Arabidopsis thaliana: one gene and its partner. The protein of the gene in region 2 interacts with the protein of the main gene of each other region in a pairwise test. Each region holds a gene or a part of one and is shown on either strand. Other genes may lie near its edges. The genes, in order: AT3G04930 and MBD02.

Region 1 (4,625 bases), on a different chromosome or scaffold from region 2:
GAAATCGAACTTGAGGAGGCGAAATTATGAAAGTTTGAAATTTTTGGAGAGAGAAACAAAAGAACAGTTCGAAAGATACAAAACCAGAGACTTATAGAAGAGCTTACCAGTTCCAGATCCAATCGAAGAAGAAGAAGAAGAAGAAGACTGTCGACAAAAAGAGAGAACTGTTCTAGTGTTCTGTCAAATTAGCGATAAGCTTTTATAAAGTGAATTATTTGCATATACACACACACCATCATCCACCACCAAATATATCCACTCGTTTATACATTTATAAAAAATAATCATGTATCTTCCATAGGTATTTTGTTAAAATCATTGTATAAACTATAAAGTCAATAACAAACCTACCTAACATTCTTTGCCTCGTCACGTGGACAAGTTTCTGCCTTCTTGAATCTTTAAATTGTTTTGATTATGCCTTTTTTTTTTTACTTAATCAGGAAAGGAATCTTCTGATGCGTACTAGCAAGAAACACAACATTGGTTCTTTTTTTCAAACACAAAAGTTTTTAAGTAACTACATTAATCAACATGATAAAGAAAGAGGTCAAAGTTTAATACACTTCAATAACAGTATCCGATCTAGAAATAAACATGTTATTACAGATTTTATTAGACAAAGAAAGAGTAGCACACAATTTAGAATTATTATTTTTCTTCTTTTTGAAAGAAAAACAGCTAGAAAGTCTGTTTGTTATTGAACAAATGATTCTACGAAAAAAGAACTATAATCTAATACAAAAGGTTATACACAAACCCCCCTCCTATGATTCATCCCTATTGACAAATAATTTAAAGATAAGAAGAAGAAAAAAAAATCAAAATGATGAAAAAACCTAGAGAAAGATCACAATACCTTACCAATTTATAACTTAAAAAGATCCAAATCTCTTACTATACTCACTCACACACCAGAAGGTTAACTCAAAGATATCAAATATCAACCTAAATGGTTCCTTGTTGTCTTATTCTTCTCGCCCTTCATCATATACCACTCGGCATCGTCTTTAACTCGTTCAATGTCGTTCTAATCTGCTCTTGAACCAACTCTAATCTCCTTGAATACACTTCCAATTCCAGAATCTGTTGTTTCCTCCACCGCTCATCTGCAACCGCCTTGTTTCCTCCTCCCTCTACACCAAAACCGAAATTGAACGGCCGTGTAAACATGGGGCTTAGCGAGCCAAAACCATGACCACCACCACCACCACCACCACCACCAAGACCCGGAAACCCTCCTCCCATTGCAGCCATCATCATACTTGTTGTCCCATTCATCATCTCTTTGATCACAGGAGAGACACAGTTTTTCACAGTCTCTTCGATCAAACCCCCGAGATTTCCTCCAATACCAACAGCTGCAGCTTCGTTGAGGTTGACATTGCTAGCTATTGGCCCATCAGAGGGAGTGATGACAGGTTTGTTGTCTTCCTCAATCTTCCCAATTCTTGATCGTGATCGTTTTCTCGACACGCTACTGCTACTCATTGTCAATTTCTTCTCGATTCCATTTTCGGAGTCGAGCTCCAGAGTAGGATTAGAACTAGGGCTGTTAAAGGTTGAGTAGTTACCATTGGTGGTGTTATGATGGTTATTGGTTTCTTCGAAATCCATTACGTTGTTATCTTCAAAGCCTATGATTTTCCCAGTTTGGTTCCAGATTTTTCTAGAAATCTCGAAAGTAGACTGATCATGAGGGCTCTTGAAGAATACCTCTTTACCAGAGCTGATCTTGCTCATCACATTCCTGTACTTCTTCTTCAATCTCCGAAGCTTCTCCACCAGCTGGTTCTTGTTGAAATCCAGCTGAAGTTTCGACTTTATCTGCTCATAAAACGGCGCCGTATCCGGCGGATGCGAGCTGCTTCCGCGGTGCATCGTCATGTAATCGAGAAAACCACGAAGAAGCTCGATCTCGTCTTCGTCTGTCCACAGCCTCTGGAAAAGGCGTCTAGAATCATCGATCGGTGGTCTCTGATGGACGATCTCCGTCATACGGTGCCACTTCGGATCGGAATCAACGGGAATCACGGAGACAGGGACGGCGGATCCAGCCGGAAGTGCAACGGTCACGGCGCCTGTAGAGGAAGTCGCCGTCGGGGTCCCGGAAACAACAGCAGTCGCTGAGATCGTAGAAACCATGGGGAGTGATGATGTAGACGGAGAATTGAGATCTTCCTCTTCGGGATCGTCGTCTTCAGCTTCAGCTTCGTTCGTTCCCGGCATAACAACATCATCGTTGTCGCGCAAATCCTCGTCGGTATCAGATTCTCCTCCGTCTGCTACACCTCCTTCGTCCGGATCAGGCGATTCCAGTTCCAGAGAGAAAAGAGCGTCGCGGTGATCCGATGTCATCTCCACCGTAACAAATGAACGGAGAACAATTCGAGATCAGCTCCGATGAGATGGAGAAGAGACCAAGAAGAAGAGGAACCAGATCCAGATTGGAGAGAAGGTGGTGTGTTCGTTCACGAGGATTGTGATTGGGTTGGGTGGTAGGGGCGTGAGAATCTTCGACCAAACCAGGGGTAGTTTTGGTATTTCCAGACTTAACGTTTAAGACTAGGCAAAGTGGTCACCCACTACTTACACACACGCGCTTCCTTATTTGCGGATTGGTTGGAGCCGTGACGTCCTCACTCGGTCCCAACCACACTCGGTAACTAATAGCGTTTTCTAAACGCGGTTATTTGGTAGAGCGTTTTCATTAACGTGATTAGCTAGGACAAAACAAACAAACAAGCCAACCTAAACCGTATGTAACTAATAAGACAGTACCCAAAACCAAAATAAGCATATGTTGTGCGGTATAGAAAATTATAATTACTGTTCAAATTCAGTGATTGACATGTAATTATCACAGTTTTTCCATTAAAATAGTAAGGAGCAAAAGTGATATAATAAATTAGAAACTTTGCGAGATTTCATAATTATGATCTAAGTAAATTTTCATTATATGTGGGTAAATAACATCGATAATAGCCAGAGAGACTCACGTTTACAATCAAACACAGCCGCACGAGTAACCGATCAAGAATTAAATCACCTAAGGAACAAGAAAATGCTTATATCTGCTGCGCATGGGAATGGTGGAAAGAGACGAGAGAGAGATTAAATAGTTGTATTGAACAAAAACCTTGGATCATATGTTTCTCTAAACTCAAAACATAAACTGACCAAAACAAAAATAAACGAAAATCTCAGATTTCAGTAAACATGTCTAGTTGGAGAAACGATCTAACAGCGGACAAATAACATAAAAGGTGATTGATTATGGAGAACAAGAACCCACAAGATAAAGATTCTCTCTTCAGGATCTCACTTCTTCTTGGCATCACCAGCCTTTGTCTGCAAACATTGATCAAAACAGATTCTTAAAGCTACAGTCACAATCAAAAACAGAAGATAGCAAGAGGGAAAACCAGTATACATACCTTCTTAACACCACGGATTTTCTTCGCCCTGTTCTTCCTTTCCTTAATTTGTTTCCTTGACTTCTCAATCTTAGTGTCAAGTCCATTCTGCCAACCACATAGACAAAGCATGTTTAAGTATAAAGATGCAGAGAACACCAAGTGCAATACGATATAAAGTCCGAAACTTATCACATAGCTTATAATTTTCAGACAAACAGTAATGAGCAAGAGTAATGATTTAAGACGGGTCAATGTGAGTAGCAATATATAACAATGGAAACAAGAGTGGAAAAAGCATTTACCCTGATAAGTCTGTATTTGGGTTCAAACTTCTTAGCGCTCTCAACAGTATCATAGATCAAACCAAACCCGGATGATTTACCACCTCCAAAGTGGGTTCTGAATTTGAATACGAAGATTGCATTTGGATCCTTGACCTCGTACATCCTTGCTAGCTTCTCCTTCAGCTCAGCCTTGCAAAAATAAAACCAACTCTCCCGTTAGAACCTCTCATAGTCTATCAGAACTCGAAATAGATGAAGTAACAAAGTGAGTAAAGAACAAACCTTTGAAACATTGGCTCTTCCAGGGTGAAGAACATCAATAACCTATATTTTCAACAATCCACCATAACTTAGAATTTCATTCCAAAATCTCAAACGGAACTAAATTGCGCCAGATCAATACTATATGATCTAAACACTATCTATGCTTTAACATTAGGTCGTAAATCTGAAAGCCTGACCTAAAACATCAAACCCCAATTATAAAAATTTGACGAGACAACGAATGCATTCTCTCGAGATTGGGTTCATATCAAATTATAACTAGATTCCCATTAAAACAAAACCCAGAAGAACAAAAATGATATGCAGATAGAGAAGAGAAAAAAAATAATGGAACTCACGAACTGCTTCCTGGAGAGAAGTCTGTTGGTCATGAATTTCCTGGTTCGGATGGTGACCGCCTTTTCAGCCATTTTTGCTACTTCTCAAGGATTAAAGTGAAAGATCTCTGCAAGCTTGAGTGTTTTCGTCCGCTCAGGTGAAGGAAAGAGACGCCGAATCGAAGTCGGAGCTTTTATATAGTTACAAGTTCCTTAGGGTTTCTTTTGTGTTCTCTTTGTATGGGCCTCAACTTTTAATTTGGGCTTACTTAATCCTAGCCGTTTGGTTTTCTAGGTTTGATTAATAAACATTTACA
Region 2 (4,858 bases):
TCTTAGTGTCAGATTTTGTTCTGGTTCGTTTTGTTTGTTTGCCTTTAACTTGTGATCCAGAATGTTGACTAAATACAGACGGTTGTGTCTAAATTCTGAATGTTAACACTTGTGCAGATAGATTTCTTCGCGATGTATCGATAGCTGATGATAATCAGTATGAAGATGAGAGATTAAACAAGTGTCAAGCTGTTGTTTGCTGGAATCCGTCTCAGTCTACTTACTCACAGTCCATAGGAACCTTCCAACAACCGCGGACACTAGAGATTACTGAGTTGGATGAGACAGGTGAGGATGTGGTAATGGATGATGCATCCAATGAGATAGAAGAGGATACTGGAAGCACCAGTCTATCTTTCCCTCAGCAAGGACAGCAGCAAGAGCAAGAGCACACCTATGGTTTTGGCTTGCATCCGTGGCAGCAAGCGCAAAACTGTATGATTCCGCAGCTTCCTCAAGTCAGTACTACTCCCACTCCCATCACTTGGTTCCGATGATACGGCTTAACCACGGGAAAACTGAATAGGGAATGCACGAAGCAGGATAGTAGAAGGCAGATTTGTTGTTAGTTTTTGTTTCTGCCTTTTGCGCAGATTAGAGATATGGCATAGTTTTGTTGTTGTATGTTTACCAAACTAATAGCTTCAGCCATATCTCCCCTAGGATGGTTTTGACTTTCGAATGTTATCTTTTGGATGTCGTTAAAATATCCTTTGAGATAAACTACGTTCCAACTTAACATGCACATCTACAGTTAAACAGACTCTGATCTATTCTTATCTGCTTTCTTGTGTCAGTCCTCTAGTGGATTTGTGAGATAATGGAATTTGGTAATAATCAAACTTTAGGTTTAAAAACTTTCAGCATGAAAATCCAGTTATTTGGAAGCAAAAACCAAAAGGACCCATCTTCTTCATAGAAAGTATGTTACACTGCAAAACAAAATAGATGGTATACACAAAAAACAAGCTAACCACATGCTTTCAGTTTCTTCGATAAGACAAACCCAAAAAACGAAGAAAGAAGACGGGTTATATACCAGAGAAGACGAGATAAGTTCACTCTCGTCTAGCTAGATTATCTATCAGCAAGTTCGTCGTTGGAGCCAAAGATTGATAGCGTCGATGTTTTTTTCTTTTTCGATGGTTGGTAATGTGAATTGTTAAGTCCAGACTCGGTTGGCGTACCTAGCTGCAACGATATATGATCATCTGGAGATATCCATGCCAGTGGATTAGCTGAAAAATAACAAGACAAGCGAAATGTTAGAAACTTGTAAAAGCATAGACGTTTTCATGTTAATAAAGTTCCCTAAAGACACCAATGTTCGGTTCGAGTATACGTCAAATACACTCTTGACTGAAAAAATGACATCAATAATCTAAAGCCTTGATACAAAAGATAACCACAATTATATTTATGTGCCTTGATAAGCAACACACCTTCTTTAGCTACAGGGGTGTTTGTATTATCGATGGAATCCAGTAGTCGAGCTGGGCGCTTCCTCACGTAGTCATCCTGCAGCGGTTTCGGGATTTGAAACGAGAACTGTGAAAGTTTCACCCCTTCTCCAATGTATTCGGAGTTGTCATTCAAGTACCTGCAAACCAGTAATAGTGGTTATAAGGGTGTAAAGAAGCTAGCTATACGTCACTGAAAACAATTTGGTAATCACTAAACGAATTGGTAAGTCACTAAGCTTTTTTCTCCTACCATTGTTGTCACTCTCAAATGCTGCAGGGAAGTATCATGGAAATAAGGATGATAGTTTAACTAACTTCTTGGCATAGTACATTTTCGTTAGTAAACAAAACACATGCAAGGATTTCTGTAATTTGCATAAGTGCCTAACTCTAGTTATGACCACAGAACAATACTTGAGGTTCCTACTGATTCAATATATTGGTTGACGAAAATGGTAAGACTGATACAGTGAGACCTCATCAAACATAAAAGTAAGGAACACTTTGTTAAATGTGAAAACGAAAATGTGGAAATGGAGTGGTAGAGAAACTAACTTTTGGACCTCCACAGTTGATCGAAGCTTCTTTCCAGACGGAGCAACATAATAACTGAAACAACCAAGATAAAAGAATGATAAAGAAAGCCAATACAATGGTATAAAGAAGAAAGACTAATATTAACATAAATGAGAGAAGAGTTAACGAACGACATACACATCAGCAAATCTGGTACCTCCTTCACCTCTAATCCGCAGTAAACGTTGCCAGCCAGCGGGTGGACGAGAGATATTCGGTTTATCAATAGCCCAAAGACGAGTTCCATCTTGATAGATATCAGCAGGAACATCACAAGAAATATCCGGCTTCCACTCACGCGCTGTATCGCAGAAAAACGGGTTTTCAAGAAGCTGTTCCCTAATCTCTTCATACTTCTGCATTGAAGGCATGAGTCTCCATTTGAAACAACTTGCACACTGAACCGTAAATGCCCCGATAGAGGGACACTGTGTTCTAGATGACAAAGGCTGAGATTGAACCGGTAGAACTTCTTCTTCAGTATCATCATTTCCTTTCAAGTCATAAACCACTAACTGATTCTCACCTCTATCCTCATTAGGTGAAGACGATCTTTGGACAGCTCGAGACTGCGACATACTCATAGAAACTACCTATAATAAATGGTTAGAGAAATGAATGTCAAGTGAAAACAAAAATGACAAATTTAGTTAACAAGAATCATTCATCACAATAACACTAGTCTCTCTATTAACATCATAAGAGAACATGATCAAGAAAACATTGATACGTGTAAAGAACAGTGAACAGTAGAAACCCTCGAACATTTCAATCTCAAAAATCAACAATAATCATAAAACAGAGCAAAGGAAACAACAATTATCATATAATCAAAGAAGAACATGAGCTGATAGAGACGAGATCCAAAAAAAAAACAATTTCATCGAAAAGCCGAAACAAAGATTAAAAATTTATCAAGAAGAAGAATCGTTACACGAAGAGGACGAGAGCAAACCAGGGTTTCAGAGATCGGTGAGCGAAGAAGGCTCTAAAGATCGTTGTGGTTAATTTGAGAATTTCATTTTTTGAGACAGAGCCAATTCAGACAACACTCTTTGTCTAGATAGAAAATGGGGAAACCGAGAAAGAGAAGAGAGAAAGAAACTGAATTTAATTTATTTTGTATAAATATAAAATTTGTTGTTACGAAAATAATTCTTAATTTACATTCACTTCAAAATATATCATGCTATAAGTAGGAGAATATTTGTGCTTTTGGGCTTATAAACAAATCTTACCATTAATCAAAATTTCCTTCAGAAAAAAAGAATCAAAGGATAATTCTTTCTAATATTAGATATGGATTCGTGTTGTGCATGCTAAATAGATGAAATATGTCTAACAAATATTTGCCATTGTTTAACAAATATTTTGAGACTTCCATAATATGTAAATTAAACTTTAATAAAAACAAATATATGTCAATTGTTGATTTTTTTTTTTTGGGTCAAAATATATGTCAATTGTTGATATAAAATATTAGGCCTGCGACTTCGGGTAAACCGAACCGAACCGAGTCGGTTATTTCGGGTTTCGGTTATTTTGGATTTTTGAAAATTCTTCCGAAACTAACCGAAATTTATTACGGTTCGGTTCGATTCGGATATTGGTTTCTTTGGTTTTTAAGTTTAAAACCCGAAAATAACCGATTCTTTTTTTTTTATTTTTTTTTAACATTAACAGATATACTTTATTAGAGGGATGATGTGTAATCCTATGGAGGATTTGTACAAGAAACAGAGGTACATAAGAATGAGAGACAAAAGTAACAATGTTTTCTAACTCCACTTTAGCTAATCGATCAGCTGCTTTGTTAGTTGACCGGAAAGACCATTTGATAATGGCAGTAGAAAACTTCTTCCGCCAATGTTGTATCTCCATGACGAGGTTATGAAGTTCAAAATTCCTTGTGTTCCCATTGAGTAAGCTTTCCACAGTCCTATTATCACCTTCAAATATAATCTTTCGATATCCTCTACTCCATGTATGTTGCATTGCCATCAAGAGAGCCTGTAGTTCCGCTTCTAGCACTGAGTTGCATAGTTGTCTTGTACCTTGAGCCGCAAGTAGATAACTGCCTGTGTCAATTCGTAAAATCCAACCAGCCTTTGGTGCTAGATCATTCCTTGAGAAACTGCAGTCATAATTGCATTTGATAAAGCCGTGAATAGGTTTTTGCTACCCTTGCCCGCTTCTGTCATTTAGACTTCGTCGTTGTGTGTCTCGCTGCAGAGGAATCCACTCATATGAGTCTGTTATCGCTTTTTGTACATCATCTTGCCAATTACTCCCTTTTCGCTGGTAAACTAACAAATTCCTGCTCTTCCATATGTGCCACAACATCCATAAAGGTATTTGTCTTGTGATATGGTCTTGTCTCGTATCAGTACAGCATTGAAGGATTAATCTGAATTTATCTTCAAAAGGTAAGTGTGGATTGAAAAACGCTGTATGTGACACCGGAGAGCCCCTCCAAATAGCTTGAACATAATGGCATCCAAAGAATAGGCGTTCTAATGTTTCAGGAGCTGCACAACATCGTTTACACTGTGAATCTGAAATGATATGTCGTCGTGTCAAGGCCTCGCCTGTCGCCAATGATTGAGTTACTATCCGCCACATGAAGTGCTTTAGTTTTGGTGTCGTGTCTAGCTTCCATACTACTCTCTTAAACTCGGGTAAACCTGGTGGGGGAACATAATCATGTTGTTGATTCGGTAGATGTGTACAGAGCCAATAACTTGATTTGAATGTGTATTCCCCATGCTTTGTGTAGTTCCAGCCTAGTACATCAGGGGACGGTTGTGATCTTAATCTTA

The links.
Region 1: the proteins of MBD02 (region 2) and AT3G04930 interact in binary tests that used the Arabidopsis thaliana proteins (3 or more experiments, as listed by UniProt).

The regions. Positions count from the first base shown.
Region 1 is NC_003074.8:1,360,765-1,365,389, reverse strand, and holds AT3G04930 (DNA-binding storekeeper protein-related transcriptional regulator), read right to left. Parts: upstream 2,894-4,625; 5' UTR 2,362-2,893; coding exon 991-2,361; 3' UTR 771-990; coding exon of another isoform or gene 739-770; 3' UTR 591-738; downstream 1-590. Other genes in the region: AT3G04920 (Ribosomal protein S24e family protein), read right to left, coding at 3,325-3,354, 3,441-3,527, 3,725-3,895, 3,989-4,030, 4,330-4,401.
Region 2 is NC_003076.8:13,522,648-13,527,505, forward strand, and holds MBD02 (methyl-CPG-binding domain protein 02), read right to left. Parts: upstream 3,152-4,858; 5' UTR 2,974-3,151; exon of another isoform or gene 2,629-2,973; 5' UTR 2,624-2,628; coding exon 2,178-2,623; intron 2,073-2,177; coding exon 2,019-2,072; intron 1,601-2,018; coding exon 1,443-1,600; intron 1,239-1,442; coding exon 1,078-1,238; 3' UTR 756-1,077; downstream 1-755. Other genes in the region: AT5G35320 (DBH-like monooxygenase), read left to right, coding at 118-497. UniProt on the Arabidopsis thaliana protein: Probable transcriptional regulator.